4 linked regions of the Diceros bicornis minor genome follow. The protein of the gene in region 3 interacts with the protein of the main gene of each other region in a pairwise test. Links are inferred from orthologs where the notes say so. Each region holds a gene or a part of one and is shown on either strand. Other genes may lie near its edges.

Region 1 (7,290 bases), on a different chromosome or scaffold from region 3:
GAAAGAGAGGAGAAATGAAGAAAATAAATTGTCCTAGTGTGTTAATGGTAAATGTATTTTTGACACTAACAAGAATGAAGAGTATTAGGTGATATCATTAATTTGTGTGTGACTCATTCAACAATGATTATGTACTGGCTTCTCAGTGCCCTGAGTGCTAGAGACACATCAGTGAACAAGATGGGCAGAAATACCAGCTCTCAAGGAGCTTACATTCTAGAGGGAGGAGATAAATAATACTTATATATATTATATGTCAGATGACGCTAAGTGCTAAGGCAGGGGGAAGTAGACAAGGAAGGAGGATGGAGAGCACCAAGGGAATTCATATGTAATTAATTCTTAGAACTTGTTAAATAATGTATAAGATTTATTCCCATGTCTATTTGCTTTTAACAGCTTGATACTGGGAAATGCATTCATTTTATCAATTTGACTACCAATAAAAGAGAATATGGGTTACCTATTCCTAGATTCTTCAGAGTGTTAGAAAAGAATAAGAATGGTGCCCTTGGGAAGGGTAGTGCCCTAGAGCACTTTGACAGTGCTCCCCACTGGGATGCCAGGAGCAATGAGTAGTAAACTGTACTAGTTTAGTCAGTAGTCATTGCCTGCGACTGGGTTTAGACATCTGCTTGGCATCACCTCTATTTAACCTACTCATGTTGTCCTCATTAGGGCGTTTCACTTAGAACACTATGAGAGCAATCATATATTGTATTTTTAGCATCTTATATAAACTTCCCCACAAATGCCCAAGTTATGTAACCAGGCCCCCCCACGGGCTCTCTTCCAGCCTCTCACAGATTTACAGTAGAGGCGAGGAGGTATGTGTGTGATGGGAGATCCTTGTCCAATGACTGAAAACGTTCATGCCCCCAGATTGGTTCCCCCTGCTCTGGACAGGGCTGGGTGTGCCCCAACAAAATGTGCTTCCTGATACCCTCCTCTTCTATTCTCAGCCTTCACCTTCTGCTGTTACATTTTCATCAGGTGTCACGTTGCTGTGCTCCTGAGGCTGGGAGACTCTGCCTCCTCTCATTGTGTTCAAACAAACTCCCAGGGCTCGCCTCCAGAGGCAGAAGGCATCCAAGAGGGTGTTCCAGTTCCCTCATTTTACAGATGGCAAATGAGGCTCAGGGAGGCCAGGTGACTTCCTTGCACATATAGATGCATAAATATGGTCAACACTGGTCTCTGGATCCCCTCTCCAGTATGACTTCTATTAAACCAGCAGCTCCTCAGCTCTCAGTGTTCTCATATATGTACAACCAGGGCTGTGAGAGGTGGTCTCTCAATTCCCTTCCTCCTGTGCATTACGTATAGATGTGCTATTGGGTATGCACAGATTATGTTACACTGTAGAGTTTACTGTTTCAATGCATTGACTAGAATGTTACCAACTGCCAAGAATCAGGAAGAGGACATAACTGTGCTTGGTTCTTTAAAGCTTCAATTCAGTCTTTCTTTTTTAATGGTAAGAATGAGAAGAAACAAATGGTAAATTCACCCACGGCAAAAAAAGGAGGTTCAAATACACATCTTCAGCTGACTCGTGTACAAGAAAAGCACTCTGTTACGTGATTCTGAAATAGGAGTTTACCTCACTATATCGGGAAAAGTCTCCTTCTGGTGTGGCAGAGAATGATAGTGATAAGCATTTTCCAAATTAGGAAACAGATATGCTTTTCTTCTTACTCTCTTACATAACTGATCTATTTTAGAAGACAACACTGAAAAACTGAAATGAAATACAAATCTCATGATTTTACTACTTGGTTAACAAAGACAGAAGCAAGAAATGCTGAGAGGAAAAGAGGAGAGATTCACCCCACCCCATCCTACTCCTCCTGTCTGGGGGCTGGTTCGCAGGATTCTCTCTTCTCCATGGCAGCTTGCTGGGTGACTCAGAGACCAAAGTCCAAATTTTAGAAAATGAATGAAGAGAGATACTAATTTCTCTCTCTTCTGAATTTAAAAAGCAGTCGCATCTAAGCGCAGATCCTCTTGGGGGGGCACAGAATGAAGGGAGGGTGACCTGTTGCAGAGTCAGTGGTGGTTCTGCCCCAGACTTCCTGATTCAGAGGGAACTTGTGCAGTACACAAAGGATACAGAGGCAGGACAGCCTCTTACATAAATAAGTTACATAAATGAGAACCAGTTATGTAAATGTATAAACCAGCAAACATGAATTATAACCATTCACAAATGCCAAAGAGAACACGGCAAGATTCCTCCTACGGTCCCATTTTTTTTCTCTCACATTATCATAATCGTACCATTTTTTTTCACACCAGAATCAGATGTGGTTATTTGTCACATCTATTAGGGAAAGAACCTCCAAAGGACAAATGATCCTTCATATTATTTTCTGAACTATACATGTTACTTTTGGGGGAAATTGCATAATCAAACCTGCTTTGAACTCTATTTGATAAGAAATATAAGCATGTTTATCAATTTATTATACTTCTTGTGTAATCATGAACACACGTATTTACTGTCGTACATTTGGCAGGCTGCTGTGAAGGACAGGACTATGCATCACAAATGTAAATGTCCATGTGTATATGGATTTTTGTTTTACCACTTTATAGTTTCAAGTCTCGAATATGTAGGCATCTGATTAAAGTCATGCTTCTGCTTATTGAGGGAAGGTAGTAATTGTGGAGGCTAGGATTAGATTCAAGGTTATGCTTGGGCATTAATTCCAATATTCCCCACCTCAAGTGATGAGGAGCTGCTCTTCGGGTCTTAGCTGCAATTTGCTTCAGGTGAACATGAATGATAAATGAACTTGTCTGTCTCTGCACCCTGTTGGAACAGGAACCTCACCTTTTCCTCAGTTAGATTTGTCCTTGTTCCCTTTGGGGCAATATATCTGCATCTTCTCTGAAGTTACATGATTTGCTCATTGTGTAGTAAAAACACATGTTACTCAAAGCAGCTTGGGGCCTAACTGCCTGTTCTGTATAAAGAGGGATGGTGATTACACGTTAGCCAATTTCAGATGTAGCATGCTCAGGTTAACTTTCCACTTAGCAATTTTATTTTGAAAATCTCACGTAAAATACTTTTATCTAAGACCTAATAATAATGGAATGAGAGTTAGGTCATCTAATAAGGTCTGTATAATATTAGCTGTGTGATTTTGGGCAAATAACTCTCCCTCTCTGGGCCATTGTTTCTAACCACTTGAAAAAGGACTCAAAGTTCTAAGCAACTTCCAGCATGAACAAGCTGATACTCTATAATCAATCTATAAATATTTTCAACTGAGAGCTTTAAACTCGCTGCCACCAAGTTTAAAAGAAATGGAACCCATTATACAAAAACCAGATCAATTTTCTTTTTTTTCTGTGGGCAAAACTGCAGACCCTGTTTGGGGTGCAGTGATATGGTGACTGCCCTGTGAAAAGCCTTCCTCCTGGTGTTTTCTCTTTAAAAATGCCAAATATAGGCCTTAGCCAGCTGCGGGGCAAGGAATGAGATGTGGAGAGTACAGCCGACACCTTGGGAACCTGAAGGCTTCCTCCTTCCAGGTGGAGGGTGAGTTTTAAACTGGAAAGGCAGCAGAAACTTGGCACCAGGGAAAACTGTCTTGCCCTCTGGAGAGTCGCCTCAGGAACCTAGGTGGGGTTATTTTGTTTCTAAAGTTGGCGACTCTAAACTTGAGGACCCTGACTTTGCGGATTCCTAGGCCCTCTGCCTCTACATGTCCATCTGTCACTTGGGCATGAATTAATGAAAATGCAGACGTGCACCTTACAACCAAGACACTACAGGGGGAGGCTCCCACGGGCCTGGAAGAGGCGACGGGTCCCCACTCAGGCGGCGGCTACGTCAGGGGAGGGTTGCGATTTGGCCCTCAGTCTAACGAAGCCGGCCGCGTGACCGGCAGAAGAGCCGCCACAAAGTAGGCATTAGGGGAGAAGCCATAGCAGGTGGGGGACGTCGGGTGGAGAGGCGACAAGGATGGAGGTCTCAGCTTCCCGGGGCTTTGTTCAGCTACAAGCCAGGCCCTTCTTTCCGGAGAAGCCAATTAGATCCCCGCTGGGGGATCATCTGACCTCGCGTCCCCCACCAGGAGGGGCTTCGGCAGGGCGGGGCCAGGCGGTCGCCTCCGCGGGGACCCGGCCGCGGGCGGTGCGGGGGAGCCCCGGACGCCGCCGCCGAGCCCGCCCCGCCCCGCGCCGCCAGGCCCCGCCCCCGGGGCTTCCCGGGCGCGCGCCGCCCCGCCGTGTCCGCGCGCCACGCCCCCCTGCTGGCGGGCCGCGTGCGGAGCCGCGCGCCCCGGAGCCTCCGGGACCGTGGCGGCGGGCGGCGGCGGAGCAGCCGTCCGTGGGCCATGTCTTCTCCGGCGGTGGCGAGGGGCTCCTCGGGAGGGAGCCGGGAGACGGCCCCCAGGCCGCAGAGCCGGGGCCGGTTCTGGGAGGTGGGCGGCGGCGGCGGCGACGGGCTGGAGCGCGCGGCCGCGGAGTCGGAGCGCTGGGAGCTGCTGCTCCGGCGCGGCGAGCTGCTGGCGCTGGGCGGCCACCTGAAGGGAGCGCTGGAGGCGTACGCGGCGGCGCTGCGCCGCGGGGCCCCGGCCAGGCCCGAGTGCCTCGGCACCCTGGTGGACTGCCTGGTGCTCAACTACCGGCTCCGCCACGGGCTGGGCTGGAGCGCGACCCCGGCGGCGGGCGCGGAGCCCGGCGCCGGCGGGCTGCTCAGCTGCCTGGGCTGCCGGGGCTTCCTGAGCGAGCCGGTGACCGTGCCCTGTGGCCACAGCTACTGCCGCCGCTGCCTGCGGAGAGAGCTCCGCGCCCGCTGCCGCCTCTGCCGGGACCGGCTGCCGCCCGCCCCCGCCGCGGCCGCGGATGCTGCGGGGACCGGCCCGCGCCCGCCGCCTCTGGCGGCCGCCGTCGCCGCCTCGGGCTTCAGGACCAGCGTCGTCCTCAACCACCTGGCCGAGAAGTGGTTCCCGGGCCAGCGGGAGCGAGCGCGGGCGGCCGGCCGGCTCGGGGAGCTGCTGTGCCAGGGGCGCTACCGCGAGGCCCTGGCCGCCGCCTGCGAGGCGCTGCGAGCAGGTGACCGCGGGGATGCGGCGCGGCCCGCCGACCCCACCCTCCTTCCCCGACGGGCTGCTCGTCTGCGCCCCAGGGAGGCCTCTGTGCCCCCCGGGTGTCGGGGCTGCGGGTCCTCGAGGGTGTGGGAGGGGCGGCGCCCCTGGTGCTTTGGTCACAATGGGGATCGCCCTCGGAGCCGACTGTGACGCGGCGCCGGGAGGGGCGCCCGGGCGCGGGGTTCCCTCGGCCGCGGCCTGGCGGGCGGGCGCGTCCGAGCGGAGCGGGTGGCCGGGGCGAGGCGGCCGAGCGCGGGATGGGTGGGAGCTGGGCGAGCCCCGGCGGCCGCCCGCTTCCTGCCGCGCGCTTTCCGGTAATTGACCGATCGGGCCCGGCCGGGCCGCGTCCACCGCGGGGAAACGACAGCCGGGGCGGGGAGAGGATCCCCAGCCGAGGCGAGGCGTGCACCGTTTACCTTCATCTCCCACAAAAGTCACCGGGGCAATTGGAAGCCGCGGGAGGGCAGAGTTGCATAAGCTGGGGGGGAGGCGTTGTGTAACGGGTGACGTCCGGTGGGCGTGGCGGGAGCTGGGCGCCCGCACCCAGCACCCGAGGCCCTGCCGGCCGCTGGGCTTCGGGCGGGTGTCGGAGCTACGCGGGGTGTTCAGCTCCTACCTGAAAATGCTTGCAGAATTGGTTCCTCCTGATGGTTTCAAGCTGCCTATTTCAAATCATGCTTATTTCATAAACTCATATGTGCTTACTTTCGAATACACCTAGTTCACGGTAAGGAGAAAGAGCTAGTGTCTGATCGAGTTCTTTGCCATGCTTCCGTTGGCCTTTCCACTCTGGATCAAGCTGTGGGGAAAGGCCTTGTAGATCTTTTGACTATTTCTTTGCTTCCAAGAAGCAGCTTCGGCCTGCTAATCTAGGTTAGCACTTTTCTTAAGGTAGTTTTAGGCTGTGGCAGGGGGCATTGCCAGACTTGTCTACGTAAAAGGAAGAGTTGTTCTTTAAATCGGTGGTTCTCTACCCAGGGGGATTTTACCCCCCAGGAGACATTATCTGGAGGCATTTTTGGTTGCCACCCCTTGTGGGAGTGGTGGTGGTGGTACATTTATCGGGTAGAGACCAGGGTCGCTGCTGAACATCCTACAATGCACAGAACAGCCTCCCACACAATTATAAAATGTCAATAGTGTCGCTGTTAAGCCTTTTGCTAAATAAGCATATTTCAAGATTAGTGTCTATATTGGCATGAAATAATACTTGAGGGATAATCCCCAAGAAAATAAACATCTAAAATATAAACTGATGTTAGGTATGAGGTAAATTTATCAACTATGTTACTGAGAGTATCTTATTGTGGATCTTTTCCCGTAAGTGCTTAGTCATTTTGAACTAGTGACAATATATTGAGTTATTTAATACCTTTAGAGTTCAAAGCACAAATCTGGCATATTTTTATATTCTTTCAGTCTCTTTATGGGGAGTAGGCAGTTATAAAATAGAACAGAATGATGGACCCAGAACAAAAGAGAACTATTTGAAATACAAAATTCTGGTGCAGGCAACTCTGCATCTCTGGGTGAAGAGGGTAAGAATGGGGAAGTACAGACCATCTAGGCCAGGGTCCTCATTTTAGATCTGAAGAAGCAAAAGCTGGGGCAGTGAAATGACTTGTCCACAGTCACACAGCTAGCTGGTTGTAAAGGCAACACTATCCTCCAGTTCTCCTAAAGGTTGGACCAGGGTTGGTCCTGCCCTTAAAGCTCATCCAATGAAAACGGTTAAACATAAATTTCCAAGGAAGTTATTTTGTAGCTAGTATAAAACCAAGGATAAAACTTAATGACAGCAGTATTCAGTGTTAACTGCTGCTAATTTAGTGAGTTGACCTCTTAAATTAGGGGCTTCATAAGAATTCAGGTCCTAATCCATGGAAGAACAGTGAGCACATTTATTAAGTAAGGTCTAGATTAATGTTCTATGACCAGTAATCTTTTAATTAAGGAAGATTCTGGGCCTTGGATTGAGGATTTTATTTTTAACAGGAAAAGACTCTGAAAGATCTACTCTCTCCCTTTTTCAGTGTGCACAGACAGCGAGTGGGACTTTTGCCCATTCAGCTACTTAATCCTACTTTTGTAGGTCTAGAACCCAAGTTTCCTGACTTTCACGTCATTGGCCTATTTTCCCCTTGTTTTCAGGTCTTTAGAAAATCATTAATTTGCCGTACTCGAA
Region 2 (7,425 bases), on a different chromosome or scaffold from region 3:
ACTGGAATTACTCCCCACTGCTGCTAGCCAGCTCATGTCCACAATAGAGGAGAACGATGGTCAAGTCCATGACAAGTGTGTGCTTCTGCTGTTTGTGTGTGTGTGTATGTTGATTCTTTATTTGTCTAATATCCAAGGCTGATTTCATATATTTAATTGTAAGAACTATGGATGAAGAAAAAGCATACTTGTAAAATTCAAGTGCATGTTCTAAGAAGCTACCATCAGGGCAAAAGCAGATGATGAAAAGAAATGAATTCACTGTGGGGATGGAGGAGTAAACAGACACACAATTGGTGACTGTTCCTATTTCTTCTCCTCTGTTCACATTAGTGACGTTTGGGTGTTGATCTTGATGTTGTGGCTGTGTTGTCTTCTGCTGTTCCTTCTTGCAGTCCCCATCTGCCCCTGTCTCCTTCCCCATCCCCTTGGCCAGGGACCTATGTCTCGGAGCCCAGAGAGTTAAAGTTGCTGCCCAGACATGTTGGAGTAGAGTGGCCCTGTGGTGGCAGAGAGTGCACCTTGTGGAGACTCAGGCACCTGGAAGGCTCCTCCCTTAGGGATTTGGCTGCTGGGCTCCAGGCCTGCCGGCCTCAATGTTCTCAGCCCTGAGCCCTCCCTGCTTTCCCAGCCTCCTCCCTGGGCCCTGAAGGGCTCACCTGGAGATGCAGGTCAATTGTTCACAGGGTAGCTGGATGGTCTTCTCTAGTTTGATAAGGTGGGAATCTGAGAATCAGGTGTAACATGAAGGGAGACAGCAAGAGAAATCAGAAGAAGGAGGGAGTGGGGGTGGTGTTGGGGGAAGAGGAAGAGAGAGAGGGCAAGGCTAAGAGACAGGTGTTAACGGCCCAGGGAGAAGGGGTACAGGTGGAACAGGAAGTGAGCAGAAGAGATGAGTGAGGCGGACAGGGATGGATACGGCCAGAGTGAGGCAGGAGGAGCGAGACGCTGAGCAGGAAGTGGTGGTGAGGAACAGGAAGGGCAGCGGTTCAGGAGAGAGGCCAGATGGAAGATCAGCCTCAGTGCGCCCAGAGCCAACCCCTTGACACTTGCGATAGCATCCCTGCCCACCCTCGGAAAGCTCAGGCTTGGACCCGGGCATCCAGTGGCCACGGTTCCGCGCCAGAACAGTTCCAAGCGCCGCGGCCTTGCCTGCTTGCTGAGATCTCCAGCCTCTGCTCCTCTGCACAGCCTGCTCCCTCTCCCGAATTCAGCCCTGTTCTTCCTGCTCCTGGGTTCTCACTCTACCACCCAGCAAGTCTCCCAGCTTCCCTCCTTGTCCCCTCCAGGCAGTTCTGCGCTTTAGAATCACCTGGGAGGGGACCTGTACAATTCTGATGCCTAGGTCGTTCCCCAGACCAATAAAATCAGAATGTCTAGGGGCGGGAGCCAGGCATCAGTAGTCTTTAAAGATCCCCAAGTGATTCCATGCAAAGCAGTTGGGAGCTACTGGCTTAAGGCATCTTCCCAAAGAACCAATGTCATCCCTCGCCTGTTGAAATGGGCTCAGTGACTCTCCATTGCTGATGCGCAGAAAGTGGGGCAGTTGAGAGGAGAGAGGAGTGTGGACACTACTTTCTGCACCTCAGAGCTTCTGGACCTGCATCCGGGACCCCTGGGTTCTCTATTCGCACAAGCACCATGAGAGGTCCCTGAGCAGAGGGTAACATCTATTAAGCATCTACTAAGTGTGAACTGCAAGACAGAGCATACTCTTCCCCTGAGTTCACTGAACCTTTCTCACAGTATGGCTTTTCCAGCCTTAAAAGGCTTCAAACCTGCCTCTCACTTTTCTGCCTTTCCAAATCCTGTCATCTTACAGCGCTCAGCTTTGATCGTTCCTCCTCAAGGGAGCCTGCCTACTGCTCCCAGATCCCCCTCATGTGTGACATAAAAAGCCTGGCTTGGTCAGAGCGGGAAGAGGATGTGCACTGCCTGAGACAGGGAGTGAATGCCCCAAATGAGTAACTGAGACCCTCAGTGCCATGACTTCTGGATAGAAATGGAGAGAAAGCTGGCAGAAGGTCACGGCCATCTGGGGGACTTATGTAGGCCATAGGGGTCAAAAGCTGTGGAAGTTCTTGCTTTTCCGATAAGTGTTGCAGATATCAAGAGTTCAGAGGAGGAAGAGGAGGAGCAATTTGTATTTTTATGTCACATAACAGACTACAGAGCACGTACATTAATCCTCAAACCCACCGAATCGTGATAGGCGTTGTTCTCTCCATTTTGCACCAGAGCGTTTTAAAGTTAAGAGCACAGACTTTGGGTTCAAATCCTGACCACATCTTACTGGCTGTTTGATCCTGGGCTGCTTACCCTCTCAAGGGCTCCGTTTCCTCATTGCACAGTGGGCGTGTGCTGGGGGTCGGATGGGGCCGTGCATGCAGTGCCTGGCAAGTTGCTTAAGCACTAAGTCTTAGCTATGACTGTTTGTACAGACGAGAGAGCTGAGGTTCAGGGGAGCACAGTGCTTGTTCACACATGGGGGACTTGGAACTCAGGTCTCTCCACGGTTAGTGGCTGTTTAGGACACACTCAATTGCTACAAAATTCTTGGGTTCCTTTTTTCAGCTAGAGAAATGTACTCGCAGGACCGCTGGCCTTCCCTGTGGACCCCACAGCTGGCAGGGGCCCCCAGTTTTCCTGAGCCAGTGTGGCCCACGTTGGGTGCCCGGCACTTACGAGATGCGGATGCTCTTGAGGCGGCCCTTGCGGAATGTGATGGTGGCATTGCGGCAGCAGCGGCTCTCGTAGTAGTAGCACTTGAGGTTGCTGCTGGTCGTGCAGCAGCACTTACAGTTGGGGTCATTGGCCCAGGAGCAGCAGCACCAGTGGCAGTTGGGGTTCTCGGAGCAGGTGCAGTGGCAGCACTGACAGTTCCGCTCATCCTTGTAAGGGCAGGGAAAGCAGGTGCAGTTCCGCTCCGAGGTGAAGAGGAACTTGCAGCACAGACAGGAGCATAGTCGAGGACAGCATCTCTGCCATGTACAACATGGAGAGCAAACACACATGGCGGTCTCCATGGTGCCTACATGATTGCCACCGCCCTCTGGGCCTCTTGATGCCTCCTCTACTAGAATCTTCCTGTGAGTTCTCCTGTGAGGAGGACCCTCCTCTCCCTGATGAGCCCGTCAGCTTGGAGGTTGCAAGAGGTTGGCTGTTATGAGGCCTTCACAGGCTGTGTTCCTACTGGGAAGCTCATGGGCTGGCATTTACATATATCAGACTGAGGCCATTCGCTTATGTCACAATCCCTGTCTACCTACCATATCTCACCAAGCTGGGTAGGTGGGAGGGTGAGATCTGGGGGGTAGTGGCAGGTGGGCTGATGGACACTCCATGCTTTCAGAGGACCAACTCCAGAGGAGAGTTAATGCCATGAGCCATCCTGGAGCTTTAGCTGTCACTTGTCACCTTTTAGGTTATGGGGTGGATTTCAGAAGCTATTTCTCTTTGCTTGGTGCTTTTCCTGCAACTTGGGTAAGTTGACTTCAGGGTATGTCTTTATAGGCTGAAAGGCCTGGGTATGATTAATTGGAAAAGTAGACTGACGTGATGTTCCTCTCCTTGGGCTTTTTCTGCCTTGATAGAACTCTTTGTTTTATGAACAAAGCACGCTGTTTACAAATGATAGCAATGCTACATTTAAAGGGAATCACCATTTGGAGAAAGAATTAAAGGAAAAAAAGATGTAAGTTCACTTAGGCGCTTCTTTCAGTAGTGGTTGAGTTGGTCAGTTGCTGCATCGTCACTGCTGCTTCTCATGAGTCTTCATGCATAAGTTACTCTGAACATTTCTTGGCTTTTTTATAGCTTCATGGTGAAACGGAGGCTTCAAGGCTGAGGCTCAAGCTCTGTTTCTCCCCCTCCTCCCATCCCACTATATCCCTTTTATCAATAGGCTGGAACTCTACATGAGAACCTTTAACTCTTCTTTTAGTACATGCTCAGTATCTCTAGAAACGACCTTATATTTTAGGGGAGAATTTTGCTTTCCACTCTATGCAGCTTGAAAAGAGTTAAAGAGCAGAAATTTCAGGGCCGGCCCCATGGCTCAGCGGTTAAGTGCGCGCGCTCCGCTGCTGGTGGCCCGGGTTCGGATCCCGGGATCCCGGGCGCGCACCGACACACTGCTTGTCAGGTCATGCTGAGGCCGCGTCCCACGTACAGCAATTAGAAGGATGTGAAACTATGATGTACAACTATCTACTGGCGCTTTGGGGGGAAAAATAAATAAATAAAATTAAAGAGCAGAAATTTCATGGTCATTTGGTATAAACACTCTGGTGTAAACACTCTTATTATTTTTCCAAAAAGAAGCAGAAATGAGAGCTGAATTTGGCTGCAGTAGTTTATTGCATAATTTATTATCTCTCCCTATGATTCTCACCTTTATAACAGGAATGTTCACTGAGTACCAACAGTGTTAGCCACACATTGATCTTAGATTCCTACAAATGAAAATCCTGGATCATAGGGTATGTGCTTTATTTTTTTGATAGATACTACTAAATTGCTTACTTAAATGTGTGTGCCAGTTTATAGTGACATCAATAATGTATGAAAGACATTTTTTCCCTATGAGTTTTGTGAACTCAATTTTATCAATATTCCTTTCTACCTGCCAGGTACAGAGGTTTGTTTCACTCCTGAATTTCTAGTACATTTTCATCATTGGTCTGTGCAAGGCTTTCTCTTGTTTTTTTTTCCTTTCGTTTCTTTTTAAATCCTTATTGAAATATAATTTATTTACCATTAAACTCACCACTTTAAAGTCAACAATTTAATGGTTTTTAGTATACTCTCAAGACTGTGCAACTATCACCACTATCTAAATCCAGAACATTTTTATCACCCCAAAACGATACTGTGTACTCATTAGCAGTCATTGCCTATGCCCTCTCCCTGCAGCCCCTGGCGACCATTAATCTACTTTCTGTAATATTGATACATGCTAAAACATGGATGAAAATTGAAAACATTATGCTAAGTGGAAGAAGCCAGATACAAAAGGTCACATTGTATATATTGTATATTGTATATTATATGGCTGTACCACATTTTGTTTATTCATTATCAGTTGATGGGCATTTTGGTTGTTTCCACTTTTTGGCTATTAGTAATAACGTTGCTGTGAACATTTGTGTGCAAGTTTTTGTTTGAACATATGTTTTCAGTTCTCTTGACTATATACCTAGGAGTAGAATTTCTGGGTCATATGCTAACTCTATGTTTAACTTTTTGAGGCAATGCCAAGCTGTTTCCAAAACAGCTGCATCATTTTGCATTTTTGCATTCCCACCAGCAATGTATGAGGTTATAATTTCTCCAGATCCTCACCAAAACTTGTTATTGTTCTTTTAAAATTATTATTATTATAACCATTATAGTGGGTATAAAGTGGGATCTCATTGTGGTTTAGATTTGAATTTCCTTGATGGCTAATGATGTTGCGAACTTTTTCATATGCTTATTGGACATTTGGATATCTTTTTTGGAGAAATGTCTGTTCAAGTCCCATTTTAAAATTGAATTGTCCTTTTTATCGTTGAGTTGTAAGAGTTCTTTGTATAATATAGGTACTATACCCTTATCAGATATATGATTTGCAAATATTTTTTCCATTCTGTTGTTTGTCTTTTCACTTTTTTGATAGTGTCCTTTGAAGCACAAAAGTTTTAATTTTGATGAAGTCTAATTTACCTGTATTTTTGTTGTTGTTGCTTGCTCTTCTGGTGTTATTTAAGAAACCTTTGCCAATTCCAAGATTTTAGAGATTTACACCTATGTTTTCTCCTAATAGCTTTGTATTTGAGCTCTTACTCTTAGGTCTTTGATCCATTTTGAATTAATTTTTGTATTTGACATTTGAATGTCCATATATGTGGTTTATTACTGGACTCTCTATTCTAGTCCTTTGATCTATACGTCTATTTTTACACTAACCACACTGTTCTGATTACTGCAGGTTTGTAGTAAGTTTTGAAATTGGGAAGTGTGAATTCTCTACTTTTGTTCTTCCTTTAAAGATTGTCTTGGATATTCTGATTCCCTTGTATTTCAATATAAACTTTAGGATCAGCTCTTCCATTTTGGCACAGAAGTCCATTAGAATCTTGATAGGGATTGCATTTAATCTATAGATCAATTTGAGGAGGATTGTCATCTTAGCTATATTAAGTTTTTCAATCCATGAACACAAGATGTCCTTCCATTTATATAGGACTTCTTTACTTTCTGTCAACAACGATTTTCTTTTTTGGTTTTTGTTTTTGGCTTAATCCAATACTATTTATTATCTTATAGTTCTGGAGATCAGAAGTCCAAAATAGGTCTCATTGGGCTAAAATCAAGATGTCAGCAGGGTTGTATTCCTTCTGAAGGCTCTAGGAGAAAATCTTTGCCTTTTCCAGCTTCTGGAGCCCACCTGCATTCCTTGGCTTGCGGCCGCCTTCCTCCATCTTCAAAACCAGCATCCTAGCATGTTCAGATCTCTCTCTCTCTGACCTCTTCACACCTCTTCCTTTATCACATCTCCTCTGACTCTGATCCTCCTGACTCCCTGTCAACAATGTTTTTTAATTTTCAGTGTACAAGTCTTGTACTTCTATGGTTAAATTAATTCCTAAGTATATTATTCTTTTGATACTACTGTAAATGAAATTGTTTTCTTAATTTTATTTTTGGATTGTTCATTGTTAGTGTAGAGAAATAAGCTGATTTTTCAATGTTGGTCTTGTATCCTGCAACTTTGATGAACTCATTATTAGCTCTAATCTTTTTTTGTTGATTTTTAAGGAATTTTTTATATATATGACTTCATGTTATCATGAATGGTATTTTGAATATGACACCAAAAGCACAGGCAACAAAAGCAAAATAGACAAGTGAGTCTACACCAAACTAAAAAGCTTCTGCACAGCAAAGGAAACAATCAGTAGGGTGAAGAGGCAACCTATGGAATGGGTGAAAACATTTGCAAACCATATATCTGATAAGGGGTTAATTTCTAAAATATATGAAGAGCTCATACAACTTAAGAGCAAAAAAGAAAGATAATCCAACTTAAAAATTGGCAAAAGACCTGAACAGACATTTTTCCAGAGAAGAAATACAAATGGCCAATAGGTACATAAAAAGGTGTGAAACATCACTAATCATCAGAGAAATGCAAATCAAATCCACAATGAACTATCACCTCACATCGGTTAGGATGGCTATCATCAAAAAAGCAGGAAGATAACAAACGTTGGTGAGAATGAGGAGAAAAGAGAGCCCTTGTACTCTGTGGGTGGGAAGGTAAAGTCATACAGCCACTATGGAAAACAGTACGGAGGTTCCCCAAAAAACTAAAACTAGAACTACCATATGATCCAGAAACTATCACATATATCCCATTTCTGGATATATAGATGAAGGAAA
Region 3 (7,561 bases):
TTTGTTGAAAACTCATTTTATCATTGGTAAGAAATATTTCAGTTTTTCCTTGAAATAGCAGGTTCACAGTTCATTTTTAAGAAAATGTTAGCCACATTCCCAAGTCTGATTAACCTTGATATCTGTCAGTCATGCTTTCAAGTAAAAATGATGTTCCGTGAAAAAAAGTGGCTAGCTCAGCTCACAGCTCAATCACACACGATTTCTCTCGAAACATCCACCATATTTCTGGATGTACGCTGGAAGTCCTTGATGCATAATTTGCACTTCATGACACATAATACTCAAAGGTTGAGAATTAATAATTATTTATAATCTTTATCGCTTCATCAAGGATGTTAAGTGAAAGTGGCATTATTATTATTTCCTGTGAGTGTGTAGCAGTGCTGAATAAAATGACAGTTTGATGTCACCAGTTTTACCTACCACTGCTTTTGTACCATGAATGCAAATATCAACAGTGAAAAAACGCAAATAACATCTTAGTGCTGTAACAAAAAATAGTTTTGACCTCATGGGCCTCTTGAATGGAACTCAGGGATCCCTAGGGATCTGCAGATAATCTTTGAGAACCACTGCACTGCACTATAGGCCTCACGCATGCGCTGTGTAACACTGAAAAACAAGGAAGTGGCAATATAAATACACTGTAAAGTAGGAAGGCCAATACCAAGAGTCAAAAGTAGTCGTCTTTCAAGAAAGGTAAGCTGGGGACTGTGCCTTTCATAGTAAGCCTTGTACTACTATTTGACTTTTGGGGAGCTTGTATCATTCCAATAAAAATCTGCAAAAATATCTAAATACTTCCCCATCAGCTGACAAATAATTTGCTCCCTTCCAGAAGGTTATCCCAAATACATTGTTTTCGGGGAACTCTTGCCCCTACACACCAATACATCGCAGTCACAAAAAAATTAGACGCTTAGAGACAAGATACTAAAAGAAAAAGGTTGGAAAACACTGCCTTGCTTCATTATAGGAAAAGAGACATTAACTAGAAAAAAATTTGCAAAATAAAATAGAAAGCTCCTATAGAATGCCATTTCTATCCAAGATCTCATAACTCTTAATATATCCATGCTCAACATCACCATTTATGCTAACTGCACACTCTCTGTAAAACAGAGAAAATATTCTCCTCTCCAGATCCAAAACAGATGAGATGCACTGGAAGGAAGAAACACTGTAAAAAAGCTTCATAACAGAGGAAAACATTCCCCCTAGACAGGGCTTAGAAGAAAATCATACCTGAAAAGGGGAATTCTGTGTCAAAGGAGATTTTTCTGCATTCTTTAAATTCCGCTGTTGAGCAATGAAACGAATAAGATGGTTTGTTTCAGGAGAGCCCCGGGCACCGACTGTAGAGCGTCGTCTGGATTTTTTAAGGTAGGATGATGACTTTCCTATAATGAAAACTCTTTTTTAAACTGGAATAAGACAAGGCAATCATCAGTAATCATGTCCTGATTACCCATAATGTACCAGCCTGAGAGAGAACCTGATAAACACACGGTACAGAAATCTAAATAGAAAATTATAGGCAAAATTGTTCTGATCAGCTCCATAGGGATCTTTGTTTTGTCTACTGATTTATTCCATGCTCCTGGAACAGTGCCCAGCACACAGACATTTATCAAACAGTTGTGGAATAAAGGCATGAACATATTTTACTTAATAGTTCTCATATTTTTGTTTCATATTTCCTGCACACAGAAGTGGGTAATAGCTTCCTTTGGACTAAGAATTTCTCTTTTTCTGAACTAGTCTCATCCCCAAGACTAAAAGGAAAGAACTCCACCTAGGCACATGTATTCTCTGTTTCCAGTTCTTCAAGATAATTTCTCTCTTAGATACCTACCTACCTCCAGCACACTACCCTGAATTCTGGCCAAACACCTAAGCACACAATATAAATCTAGCTTTTTAAAAGTCTAAGAGTGATGTTCTTGAGAAGGGAACATAGAGTGGCACGCTCCTCTGGTCTTGTCTCAAGCACCTATTTCCCAGCCTAGGGCCCTCTGACTTTCAAGTTCCCCATTACCCTCCATTCCTAAATGCTATTCTCTAATCTAATTCCATTCCCCTATTTCCTTCTTCGCCATCTAAGTCAGACTTCACAGGCTCCTGTGAATTTCGTTCCTACTTCTTGAAGATTAGCCTTTGGGTAAATTTTCTGTTTCTAATTTTAAAAGAGGCATACTCCAATCTTTCAGTGTTATATTTTCTTAATCACTTCAACTTTCTTTTACTTTTGTCATACACAACCACAAAATGTATTACTTTTTGTAGTATACACACTCCGGTATCCCATGTGTCTGGTCAAAAAGTGATTCATACACATATTCTTTTCCAGTTCGGGCACAGAGCACAACTCTGACTTAGGAGCATTGTCATGCTGGATGCCCGGGGGCCCTGGTATCCTGCTGCGCTAGAAGAACTGTGTATGTGCACAGAAGTCTCCTTGACCAAGCAAGTTTGCAGAGTCAATTTAAATACGTCAAGTAATAAGACACAATAGATGAACAAAACTGAGTTATATTAAAGTTATTTTTAAATTCTAAAAGCACTGCAAAGAATGACAACTTCTCTTACCAGAAGAGTTCTTTACAAAGCTGTCAGGTGTAATTCCCAAGCGCTCTACAGTTACTGAGGAAAAGTTCAAAGGTGATTTAAAACTATCCGGTGTGCAACAATTAGGAGTCACTTTGCGCGCGTGTTTCTGAGGAGTTACAAGGTTCCCATTTCCAAAAACTAAAGAGGCATTTTCTGAAACAGACATGTTGTGGAGGTTAAACACCATTCTCAAGATAAACACCTAAACCTTAAATTTCACAAGGCGGCAATAGATTACTACACACCAGCATTATTAACAGCAGACTCCTTGGTTTCAGGGAGCTTGCTGTCCTTGAAGTTGGTATCCATCTAAAAGAAGAAGAGAAAGAAAGAAACAAAAATGACCACACCGCTCAGATTAATGTGATTCTATCGAGATCCTCATGCAAGACTGAACCCTAATGCAATCGATGCTGGCATGAAAATAGATGCCAAGAGAATACCTCTGGAGCTCAAATTAAAGAGAGAAACGGAGGAAACCTGTTCAGGATGAAACAAAGCAGACCCCATACTACAAGCCACGGCTTTTCAACCTCAGCGAACATCCGAATCATCCGCGCACCCTGGGAAACACGCAGCTTTCTAGACTCGCAGAAATTCCAATTCAGGAGGTGTGGCTGAGCCCCAGAACCTGCATTTTAAACAGCCTGCGGGTGAGCAGCTCAGGTGGCAGGAGGAGCCCCACCTCGGTGGGGCAGGATAAGCAGAGCACAGTTCGAGAAACGGCCGAACCCACAGCTCTGCGGCCCGCATGTGAAGCCCCGCCGGGCCACTGCCCCACCTCTCCCGCCCGCTCGGCTCTCCTCCGCCGGGGTCCACCGCGAACACGGCCCCGCAGACGGGCGTCGTGCCGGTCGGCCTTCCAGACCTCGGCTCTTTGGTCCTAAAGGTTCGCTCGGGAAAGCGACCGCCGGAAGGCCGCCTCGTCCCCGGCCGCCGCCGCGACCGCCCCGACCCCGCAGCCGCGTTACCGCACCCTCCCCTCGACTCGCCGCCGCCCGCCGCCGGATTCAAATCGCCGGCCCCGCCCCGCGGCGTCCGGCGTCACTCTGCGAGTCTCTACGCCGCCCCCACCCGCAAGTGTCCGCGCCCTCTCCGACCTCTCCCAGGCCTCTTCCTCGCCGTCCCAGGAACAGCAGTGGCTGCCTGCGCTCAGAGAGAAGCCACCGCTAGCTGCGGGTGACGCACGGACCGGAGGGTCCGGCGGCTAACCTGCGTCCGCGGGGACTACTTTCCAGGAGTTTCGCGGAAGAACCCTTCGGTTATTCTTTTAGCTCCTCCCCCCGCCTTTCGATTGGATGCTGCAAACTTCGAAAAGAATCGTTGGACCAATCCTGACAGAACCGCAGCTGGCGCTTACCCAATCAGCCAGTCCTGACGGCAGCCGCTTCCTCTGTGGGTTGAGCAAACGGGGGTGGTTACAGCGGGGTGGTGCTGACTGGTGTGGGTCGTTTCTAGCGCTCCACCTCCTTCCCTCAAACCCCGCCTCTGTATGCAGATAAGCTGTACCTGGGGTTGGGGTTGCGCCTGCTCAGTAACGCTTTGAGACGCCGCTTGGCTCCAGGGTCTGCTCTGATTGGCTGATAAACCCTCCCGTCCGACAGAATGCAGTCTCTCTTCTCTCCGTCCACCTGGGCTGGATTAGTATGAACCCACCCAATGCAGGGCGATGATTGGCTGGGTGCTGGCCGGCCCTGCCGGTTGATTGGTGGAGCTTAGAGTCAGTCTGGGAGAGGTGGGGGAAGGGATCCAGGCGGACTGAGGAGCCCAGGGGCGGGGTGGGAAGGAGGACCGGCCAACCCCGGGGTGTGGGACGGAGAGTGCGTGTGTGTGTCTGTCTGCCGGAGAAAGAAGGTGGCGAAGGGAGGAGAGTCCGAGTGGGTGGAGGGAGGGGAGGGGCGGGAGAAGAAAAAGGTGGGAGGAGAGCCAAGTGGGAGGGTGGCGGCTCACTCAGGACCCAGTGGGGGCAGCGCGATGAGGCGGGTGACCCTGTTCCTTAACGGCAGCCCCAAGAATGGAAAGGTAAGGGGGTCGGAAGGAGGCGAGGCGGGCCCGGCTGGGGGGCGAGGGCAGCGGAGTGCGGAGCGGGCCGTCAGGGCAGAGGCTGAAGTTGGGGAGAGGGGCTGGGAGCTGGGAGGTGGGCGTGCGCCGGGGTGGGGGCGTCCGAGAGCTGAAGGTGGGTCTTGGCGGCCTCCTCCCAGCCCCGGGATTCCCAGCCGGAGCCTGCCCTTCGACTCCCCAGCTGCCCGGGGACCAGCGCAGGTCAGCTTGTGCTTCATCATTGCCAAGTCCAGGTGCGGGACAGGGAGGGCTGCTGTCACCTGAGCTCTTGGTGCTGATGTTCCTTTTTCCACCTCCTCCCCGAAGACCCCGCTGCCCCCCCCCCCCCCCCCCGGCTATAGAAGGCGCTTGTTTCCACCTTCGTGCTGAGTAATGATCTGCTCCAGAAAGTGGTGGTAACCACTAAGACATGTAAGGGTGATCAGATAAAAGAATTAAACTCTTTATCAGTGGATAAAGAAACTATTTTTCCGTCGTAGCTCGAATAGAGGATTAAAAATTAGAGACATTTTCTTGATGGTCTCCTTCCCCCCATCTTTTAGGTGCCCCGAGTCCCGCTGCCGCCAAACTTGTGTACTTGCTTTGTTGTTTCGCCTTATTTTAGTTCCTTAGAGGACTGTGACAGTAGACCAAAATGGATTGATTTGACATTACTCTTTGCTGTGTTAGGCCTTTGTTGAGGGCGTGGTACTAAATATTTTTCCAACGCTGGAGCAAGCCAAAATGAATCCTGTTCCTTCTCAGCCTCTTGCCCCACCCATGAAAGTTGGTCGGCTTCTTTGGAAAATTTGACTGTTCGAGGCAGACATATATGGTGTGGCTAAATGACGTCTAGAAGTAACTAAGCCTTAGAGACTAAGGTAAAGGTAAATTGGCCTCATTATATTATTATTTGCCAGAATACTTTGTTTCCTTCATATTTTGGAAACATGAAATTTTAAATAACTTAATTGTGCCACGATATAAAAAATGGCTTTCCAACTACTCTGCAACTTTGAGTAAACATGCTCTAAAAATTTGAACCACAGTGTAGTTTGTTGACTATAATTTTGTTTTCCTGTTTTTAGAGATTTAATATTTATAAAAAACATTCATAAAAAACAACTGAGATAAATTCAAGTTCTTGAGTTTTCATAAATGCTACTTCAAAATATGCTTCACAAGATTTACTTATTTCTGACCATTATTAACTTTTTCTAAACCTGTTTTGTCTGTTGTTAGCTGCTACTCATAATCTAAAACTTATATTGTTACTGGAAGAAAGATTTGGTATATCTAAAGTTACAATTGTAATATGTTCTCAAAAACAGACCTCTGATTGGCCTTTTTATCCATCATGTCTATGTTATTCCCTGAAAGACAAGATGTTTAGACTCAGTCATAAAGATTTAACTGTGCTCTAAATCTCTTCTGAAACTGCAGAATTTTGTTGTCAGAGATTGGTTGGGTTAGTTGTACCATATTCTTTTAATAAGGTTTTTGGGTTTTTTTAAGCTGTCTAGTTTTGACTAGGTTAGGTTTTTGGATTTAAATTTTTTTTGCTTTAAAAATATTTTGCTAGAGAATCTCAGAAAATTGGAAAAAACACATCTCAAATAATTAAATATAAATAGGTTTATGTTACAAAGATCATAAAAACCCAAACTGAAGAATACTAGTATGATTTAGTATTAAAAAATAAATCATGCCATAATCTTTACTATTCAAATGGAAAACATACTCTATGCCAAAGTTGTCAGTGTTTCCTCTCCTCTCCCTTCAGCTGATTAAAAAAAAAAATCATTACTCTTTTTTGACAAAAAAGAGCAGAATAATACATAACAGCCTGCATTTTTATGTAAATAAAGTGTATTTAGCCAGGATTGGCATGATCATGACATGATGTTAAGAAGAATGTGCTAAAACAAAGTGCTAGTAGAAAGTAGAGTTTGATTTCCCATCTACCAGTTGACATATCTGTGTCACTTTCATTATCTCCTTATTTACCTAGTTTCTGTTTTTACTTCCTGGTCATAAGAATAATATTTGTTTTTTCAAATAAGTTTCCCTCCTATAAAGCTTGTTCAGTGGTTGCCAGACTGGGCCCTGAAGCCTGAGGTTGGGGAGGCACAGAGTCACTGCAGGGGACTCTATCGTGTGCTCCCGGTGACTTGACTTCTGTATACCGAATAAACATAAGCGTAACTAGTGAATGTTTTGATGTTCAAGAGAGGCCTGTGCATTCCCGAAAACAGTGCTTTCCAGAGTGAGATGCTACACCACAGAGGATGTGCGAGAGGATCTAGTAGAGTTTGAGAAGCGATACCTTTTATTTTTTACTTAAAAATATAAAATAATATTAAAACTTGATTTTTCCAACCTGGAAAGACATAGGTGCCTTCAGTCACTGAATGTGTTAGCTGGACTTCAGCTTACAAGTGCCAGGTTAAGATTTGTATTATGCAGTTTTAACTAAACCCCTCACCAAAATGCCAAGTGGCTGTAAAAGATTGCTTCAAAGCAGTAGCAGATTGAAGATGGTATTAATTATGCAAGCGTAAGTAAACAATGAGAAAAAGCTGCGCTGCCACTTCTCCTGATACAAACTATGAGACAAAAAACTAGGGATCTCTTTGGCTCTGAGAAGAAGTAAAAACTGCCAAATTTTAAAGAAGACTATTTGAAGTCCTATTTAATAACTGCTGGTAACAGTAAACCTCTCCCTAAGTGTATATTGTTCTTTGAAATACTAGACAATAGGGTCATCCCAATTAGCAGGACATTTAAAAATATTTTCCAGCACATAAAGACAACAGTTTCAGATTTTTTTCTTTTTTTTTTTAATAACAAAGTCAATCTTATATTTGGCAGACTAAATTTAATGATAAATACTTAGGAGATTCTTACT
Region 4 (7,231 bases), on a different chromosome or scaffold from region 3:
TTCAACATATATTTATTGAAAAGTGATAGAAATACAGAAAAGAAAAAGTTATGGTCCCTGTCCTCAAGAAAATCCATCTAGTGGGGCTGAAATTTACAAAACAAGTATCTTATAGCAAATGAGTTGTAGAAGTAGTGTGTTCTGTGATTGAGTGATTGAGGTCTGGCAGGGCTGGGGCAAGTTTCATGGTGCAAGAGACCTGCTACTTGCGGAAAGGATAGGACTTTGTAAAGGGGTGGAAAGCAAAGAGATGCTAGGCAGGGGGATGCTGCAAAGCAAGGAATACAATGTGAAGATCTTTCACAAGAGGTTGAAGGTTTGCAAAGGGGAATAATGGGAGAATTAACTGGAGCAGAAGGTTAGGGTGAAAGGGTGAAGAGACTTTATTTTTGAAGCCAGGGTTCTCAATCACACCAGATGAAGGTAGAGTGACCATGTGTATTCCCTTTAGGGGTACCTACTGAAATCTCTAAAAGAGATGCTCTACCCTCCTGTCTCAGTCTGTTTGGGCTGTTATAACAGAATTCCGTAGACTGGGTGACTTATAAACAACAGAAATTTATTTCTCACAGTTCTGGGAACTGTGGAGGCTGAGAAGTCCAAGATCAAGTCACCAGCAGATTTGGTGTCCTGTGAGAGCCTGCTTCCTGATTCACAGACAGCAGTCTTGTAGCTATATCTTCACATGGCCCAGGTGGAGGTGAGGGTGGAGAGCTTTCTGGGATCTCTTTTATAAGGGCACTAATCTCATTCATGAGGGCCCCACCCTCATGACCTAATCACTTCCCAAAGGCCCCATCTCCAGATTCCGTCATATTGGGAATCAGGATTTCAACAGATGAATTTTGGGGGACACAAACATTCAGTCTATCACACTGTCTACCCTAAGAGATTCTGGTTTCCCGCTTTCCTTGCTAGCCAGGTGAGAATGTATGTAGTGTAATGAGGGACGTTATTGGTTGGCATGCACTGCACACGTGAATCCTGTGGAGCTAAAGAAAAGCTGCTGTAGAGAACTGGAAGTCACTGAGGGTTTTTGGCCAGCCAGGTAACGTGTACAAAGTAGCTAGTGATGTGTTAGAGTTGCTGGGAGAGACTGAAGGCAAGGAGATGTTAAGAGTTGACTGCAATTGTCTAGGAATTGAGGAGAGAGAAAGAACAGGACTTGTATCTGAATGTTTGATGGCAGGGAAGGTGGAAGCCAAAAAAAGAAAAGTGGACCAGACACTGTACTAAGCATAACCACCTTTCAAAGTAGGTATTGTTTCTATTTTACACAAAATAAAATCTACAGAGATTTAGTACAAATCCAAGCAATACAAGATTTAAGCAGGAAAGTCGGGCCCTGAATTCAGGTCTGTTTGACCTTAAGTTCTGCTCTAACACCCTGTGCTTTTAATCTTCTGTTTCTAAGAGACTAACAGAAAAAGGGACAACTGGAATGGGACTGGTTTTAGGGATGGGTTTGTTTTTGAGGTTTGATGTGTTGGTAGGTTGCTTAGCATGCATCTGGAAAAGTATCATTTGGCTTTAGAGAAGGGTGGCAGACAATACTGGAAATTATTTGCATAGATGTGACAATTGACGAGGACTCCAAAGGAGACCATAAGGAATTGAGGAAGAGAAAGAAGACAAAGGCTTGACTAACAATAATATGTCCAGGTTAGAATGAAATGGGATCAGGTACGGAAAAGCCAGGGAAAGAGTAGAAAGTTGGGAGGAGAAGTAGGAAGTATAGCATCACCAAAACATGGAAAACACCCATATACAGGAAAAGATTGTCAAAGCTGTTGAATACTGCAGATGTCAAGGAGACAGGTCTAATTTGGCAATCAGGAGAAAAATAGTTGCGGTCAGTGGTTTCAGAAGAGAATTTACACAGGAGGCAGTGTTTAATGAATTAAAAAACAAAATGGTGAAGTTAAGGAAACAGACCATCTACTAAAGTCTGTAAACCTTTTTTTGAGATCTTGAAAAAAAGAGAAGAAATATGACAGAAATTAATGCATGGTAGCCAGAAGAAAGAGCAAGTTCTAGGGAAGGTTTTTGGATAGGGCAAACTGGGTCTTTTTATAATTTGATGAGGAAAGAGCCAGTCAAAAAGGTAGAAGATTGAAATGCAAGTGAAGAAAGGAAAATGACTTTCTTTCTTAAAGGAAAAAAAGTTTTTAATTTGAAGAATACTAAAAACAGTAAATAACACCTCTAATCAGCCACTAAAAATTATATAAAGTGAATTAAAGGCCCTTCTTAAGCCCTCCAATTTACAAACCCCTCTCCAACTCTATCTTTCCTGTTAATAGTTTGGCACAAATGTTTCCCAACTTCTTCCTTTATTTAAACAAGCATCTCTCTCTCTCTTTGCATCTATACCCAAATACCCTTTTTTTGTTAAATGAAAATAAAATGATGCCATATACATGTTTTCAAATTGCTTCTTTCAGTATATCAATCATGGAGATTTTTCTAGGTGAATACACACTCGTACTCACATATCAAATCCATCTTATTCTTTTTAACAGGTGCCTAATGTTCTTTTGTTTGGCTATATCATAATTTATATAGAAATTCCTTCATTGATGAACCTTTCTTGGTACCTAAGTTATAAAAATGGAATTGCTGGGTGTGGTGGGCTGAATGACAGCTCCCAAAGATATGCACACTCTAATCTCGGGAACCTATGAATGTTATCCTATATGGCAAAACGTACTTTGCAGATGTGATTATTAACTTAATCATCACAACTGGATATTGAAATGGGAAGATTATCTTGGATTATCTGAGTAGGTCCTAAATGTAATTTCTAACTACATCCCTACCTACATCCATACATCCCTCTTCTTTACAAACCTACTTCTTCATTACATACCTATATCCCTCTTCTCATAAGAGGGAGGCAGAGAGAGATTTTACTACAGAAGAAGACGGCCATGTAATGACAGAAGCAAAGAGAAGCAGTGTCAGAGAGAGAGAAGATGCTATGCCTCTGGCTTTGAAAGGAGAGGACATGGCCAAAAGCCAAGGAATATAGTTAGCCGCAAGAAGTTAGAAAAGTCAAGGAAACATATTTTCCCTCGGAGTCTCCAGAAGAAACCAGTCTTGCTGACACCCTGACTTTAGCCCCATAAGACTCATTTTGAATTTCTGGTCTTTAGAACCATAAAACATAAATTTGTGTTGGTTTAAGCTGCCAAGTTGGTGGTAATTCAGTATGACCTCATCTGAACTTAATTACATCTGCAAAGACTTCCAAATAAGGTCACATTCCTATGTACCGGAGGTTAGCACTTAAACATATCTTTTTGGGGGACACAGTTTAACTCACACGCTTGTAAAAAAAAAAAAAGATCAATTCATCTGTAAGTGGTTTTAAATTTTGATTTCTGGGAAGTTGTCATTTAATGGTGGAATTGTTATTGCCTCACTCAAATTAAAAAATTCTTGCTGGATGTGGGATTTCAGGAAATCCCAAAGGAAACAGTGACGGAGGATGGGTGGGTATTTTGAGGATAATGAGTTTGGTACGGACCAGAGAGCATCCCAGAATATAAACAACGTAGCACATCACTTTTATAAAGTTAGTAAGTGAGCAAAACTAAACAACATATTTTTGTACACACAAATATAGAATGTGTGTGTGTGTGATATTTGAATACACTCTAAAGAAAAGCACCACACCGAGGGGAGGAGGACCGTCGGGATGAGATAGGGAGGCGCACACAGGGTTCCGCGGCGTTGGTGGGTTCACGGATATTTGTTAGCCTCCGTTATTTAATATCTTTTGTATGTATTAGTGTGTAATAAAACAGTAAGTATGCGTTATGTTTTAATATAAAACTGTGCCTATAGAACATAAAATTTAAAAACGTGGCATACGGATGGTAGAAAATACGCTTTGAGAATGGAGCAGTCACTTGGAAAAGCTGACAGATAACAGAGCACTAGGTAAACTCACGCTAATTATGAAACCGTGAGTAAAAGAACTTGTGCTTCTATGAAATTCAAGCACCAACAAACCAGGAGGCTCACAGCGGGAGTAGCAGCATTCCCAGAACCATAGTTTCCACGCTGGCTGATCACCTTACCAGCGAACTGCTTCTTCCAGACGCTGAGATTGCGCAAAGATTATTGCCCTATTCCAAAATGACGGCTCCAGCGCCTACAACTTAAGTATAGCGCATGTCCGGAAGTTACGCAACCCCATAAGGTAGCGCGCCCCTACCCGTGGGGAGAGTTTCCGCCATTTTTGAAAATCGGGAAGGTCTGGGGCTAAGTGCAGTTGCCGACGCGATGGCAGCCTTTGCCGTGGAACCCCAGGCACCCACGCTGGGTGAGTGAAAAACTGCTTTTCCTCGCTGGCACTTCGATCCACGCCGTAGGCCTGGAAGCGGGCAAGACTGAAAGGCAGTAGTCACCAGGCTCTCGTCTGCTAGTTTCAGTCGCGGAGGGGGAGTCCCTGACTCGCCCCCAAGTTCCCGGGAGGCCCCCTGCCCGAGGCGTCGCCACACTGCCGCTACGAAGGCGGCTCCAGGAAGCTGCGGGCCCCGGGGAGGGTGAGAAAACGGCCGTCGAGTGGTGACTGAGCCGTTTTGTGCCCCCACACGCCGGCCGTGCCCCACCTGCCCATACCTGTGACTCTCACAGCGCCCCAAACGCGCCGCTGGGTTCCGGGGTCGCGGGCAGCGTCGGAGGGAAGAAACTGACCGGCGTACACGTGGGTGGGCGGTGCCCTGGAGGGGGGTTACAGCCACCGCTCTTTGGTCACCTAGGCTTCTAGTTCATGTTTGAGTGCTTCCCTTTTCTGGGCTTTGCAAAAAGGAATCTGTTAGCAATGGAAGCTTGAGTCGAGCGACATTTATTTAACCAGGTGATGGCAGCCATCGAGATAGTGGCCTTAATAGGAAGCCTGGAGCTCGCACCCGCCTTTATCTTGGGAAAGATTTTCCCCGCCTTTTATCTTGGGAAAGCGACCAAGTATTGTAGGAGATCTTTTGCTCTAATTAGTCACGTAATGAAAATTCATTCCATTGTTTAATGGGGAGCCTCGCTGAAATGTGTTGTCGTTGAAAGAATCGACCAAGTTAACAGGATGTCGATTTCCTTTTTGTCTGCTGAGTTTGGGGACTTGTGAGAACCGTCGAAAATTTTAGAACGGAAAATAAACCGTCTGCTATCATAGACGTATTTGAAAATTGGGTTACAACTTTCTGAGTTTGGAAAAGAGTAAGTGCGATATATGTCTGTAGAATGAGGTTTTTTTTTGGCTTTGAAGGCTATATAATGCCATATTTTGTGCAAAATAAGTTTTTTTTTGAGAATAGAGTAACGAACTGTTTTAGTGTTAGTCATAAGAAACTAAACGCATAATGTCAGTGCAGATACTCTGCTACATTTAAACTTACGTACAGATGTTGGTCTAGGTATTTGTTTTGTATTATTTTAGAGATCAGAAAACTGTTCATTTCCGGTTCCAGAGTTTTCTACTCAACAAAAACATTTTGGAGTGTGTATTTCTTAGGGTTACAAATGTGAATAAACCTTTTCCTGTTTATTGCCTGGTCAGAAATATGACATTAGCTGATATTAATTGTTCAAGTCCACATACTGCAGATATTCCAGGTGAAGAATAAACATTTTCCCAGCACCCAATGGTATGTTAAAACTAAGGGTTACTTCAACAAACAATGCCAGCTGAGCAAGGTACAGTACTTATTTTAGGAGTACAGATTGTGAAATGAAATGAAAGACTTGCACAATCCATTGGTGTAGTTCTCTTTAAGGGAAATTTAGCCTGAGGGATGGTTGATGACAGTCTGAGTCCTTTCTGTCCCCCTCACTCTGGTGCTTTCTACTGTCTCACAATATACATACAGATATATCAGAACTTTTCTTGACTTAATTCTTCTTATACTTGCCATATATATTTTTTCTTCTGGGGGATGGGAGAGTGAAGATAGTTGGTGGGACCTAAAACTTTGTGTTTATTACAGTGGGTTCCTAAATGTATGTTTGGAATATGCTTTTGTTTATGCTTTTGTGTAGTCTTTCGGTGTGTAATGTTCTTTGGAAATATGTAATAGTACCGTAGTAACATAATAACTAGCACTTCAAAATAATTACAGTGTAGTTATAGTTCTTTACACCTATTTCAGTATTTGTTTTACTCTTTTCCTGAATTACTTTGTCTTTTTCCTCTTGTATAGGCTTGCATTGTTAATATCTGGGTCTACTCTAATGAGAAATAAGAGGAAGATTAGATAATTGACAGCATTTGGATAGCAAGAAACAAATTTTTGATACTATTTAGAAGGAATGGTTAATAAAGCCCATATAAATAACATACCAAATGTTTGACTTTTCTGAGTGCCATGAGTCACATTCAGTCTTGTCACGTAGTTGAAAATTAAATTTTCGTAAGCAGAAACTGCAAATTTTACATTTATACGTTACTTAGTCAGTTTTTGCTATTATTATAAGATATTGTTAGAATAATAATAACTAATATTTGTTGAACACTTACTGTATATTAGGCACTGGGTCAAGCACTTTACGTGCTGTAATTCTAATCAGAGCTCTGTGAGTCAGGGCTACGATTAGGCCCATTTTGCTGAGACACTTGAACCCAGGTCTCTGAGTCCAGAGCCCATGTTTTCCTTACTGTGCTATTTTGCTTTGAAATTAGAGTAAGTATGACTTCCTTATTTTCATAATGGGAATAATAATACCTACCCTGTACTTGGTGTGAAGATTAATTTTGAATTGATTGTGAAGTGTCAGTTCTCTTTTTAAATTGGTTTTATATTAGGGAGACTTTTATTGATTATTTCTGACTTCAAAATGAATGATTTTTAAACATGATCCAAAAAATAAACTTTCCGTGTCTTTTCAATATGTTTCTCAGTTGGGATGCTAATCATCATTGTTACGTCATATATGCTCTAATGTGTGCATGATTACACTTTTATTACAAAAGTTATTTACAGTTTTTGTGTATGGGGAAGAAAAAATGGGACATATAGCAAGCTAAACCCATTGTGTTTGATTTGCTAAGCAACTTTGTGTAAGTAGCTAGTGCACAATGTCCTGGTTTTTGTTTGTTATATAGTAGAAGCTGACCCAGAAATGGAACGAGGTCATTCTGTATGTATTAGGGATTTTTTTTTTTAGATAATAAACTGAAGTTTTTATTTTTTATTTATTTATTTATTTTTTAAGATTTTATTTATTTATT

The links.
Region 1: the proteins of KCTD9 (region 3) and LONRF1 interact in binary tests that used the Homo sapiens proteins (3 or more experiments, as listed by UniProt). The two-hybrid records come from large-scale screens. The link is inferred for Diceros bicornis minor from reciprocal best matches to the Homo sapiens genes KCTD9 and LONRF1.
Region 2: the proteins of KCTD9 (region 3) and TRIM42 interact in binary tests that used the Homo sapiens proteins (3 or more experiments, as listed by UniProt). The two-hybrid records come from large-scale screens. The link is inferred for Diceros bicornis minor from reciprocal best matches to the Homo sapiens genes KCTD9 and TRIM42.
Region 4: the proteins of KCTD9 (region 3) and NUP35 interact in binary tests that used the Homo sapiens proteins (3 or more experiments, as listed by UniProt). The two-hybrid records come from large-scale screens. The link is inferred for Diceros bicornis minor from reciprocal best matches to the Homo sapiens genes KCTD9 and NUP35.

What each region holds. Positions count from the first base shown.
Region 1 is NC_080768.1:25,798,008-25,805,297, forward strand, and holds the start of LONRF1 (LON peptidase N-terminal domain and RING finger protein 1), read left to right. Parts: upstream 1-4,276; 5' UTR 4,277-4,349; coding exon 4,350-5,070; intron 5,071-7,290.
Region 2 is NC_080741.1:12,847,342-12,854,766, forward strand, and holds the start of TRIM42 (tripartite motif-containing protein 42), read right to left. Parts: upstream 3,027-7,425; coding exon 2,686-3,026; intron 1-2,685.
Region 3 is NC_080750.1:68,411,347-68,418,907, forward strand, and holds the start of KCTD9 (BTB/POZ domain-containing protein KCTD9), read left to right. Parts: upstream 1-4,544; 5' UTR 4,545-4,587; coding exon 4,588-4,635; intron 4,636-7,561. Other genes in the region: CDCA2 (cell division cycle-associated protein 2), read right to left, coding at 1,249-1,403, 2,593-2,766, 2,859-2,922, 3,094-3,123. UniProt on the Homo sapiens protein: Substrate-specific adapter of a BCR (BTB-CUL3-RBX1) E3 ubiquitin-protein ligase complex, which mediates the ubiquitination of target proteins, leading to their degradation by the proteasome.
Region 4 is NC_080749.1:62,994,901-63,002,131, forward strand, and holds the start of NUP35 (nucleoporin NUP35), read left to right. Parts: upstream 1-4,229; 5' UTR 4,230-4,290; coding exon 4,291-4,330; intron 4,331-7,231. UniProt on the Homo sapiens protein: Functions as a component of the nuclear pore complex (NPC).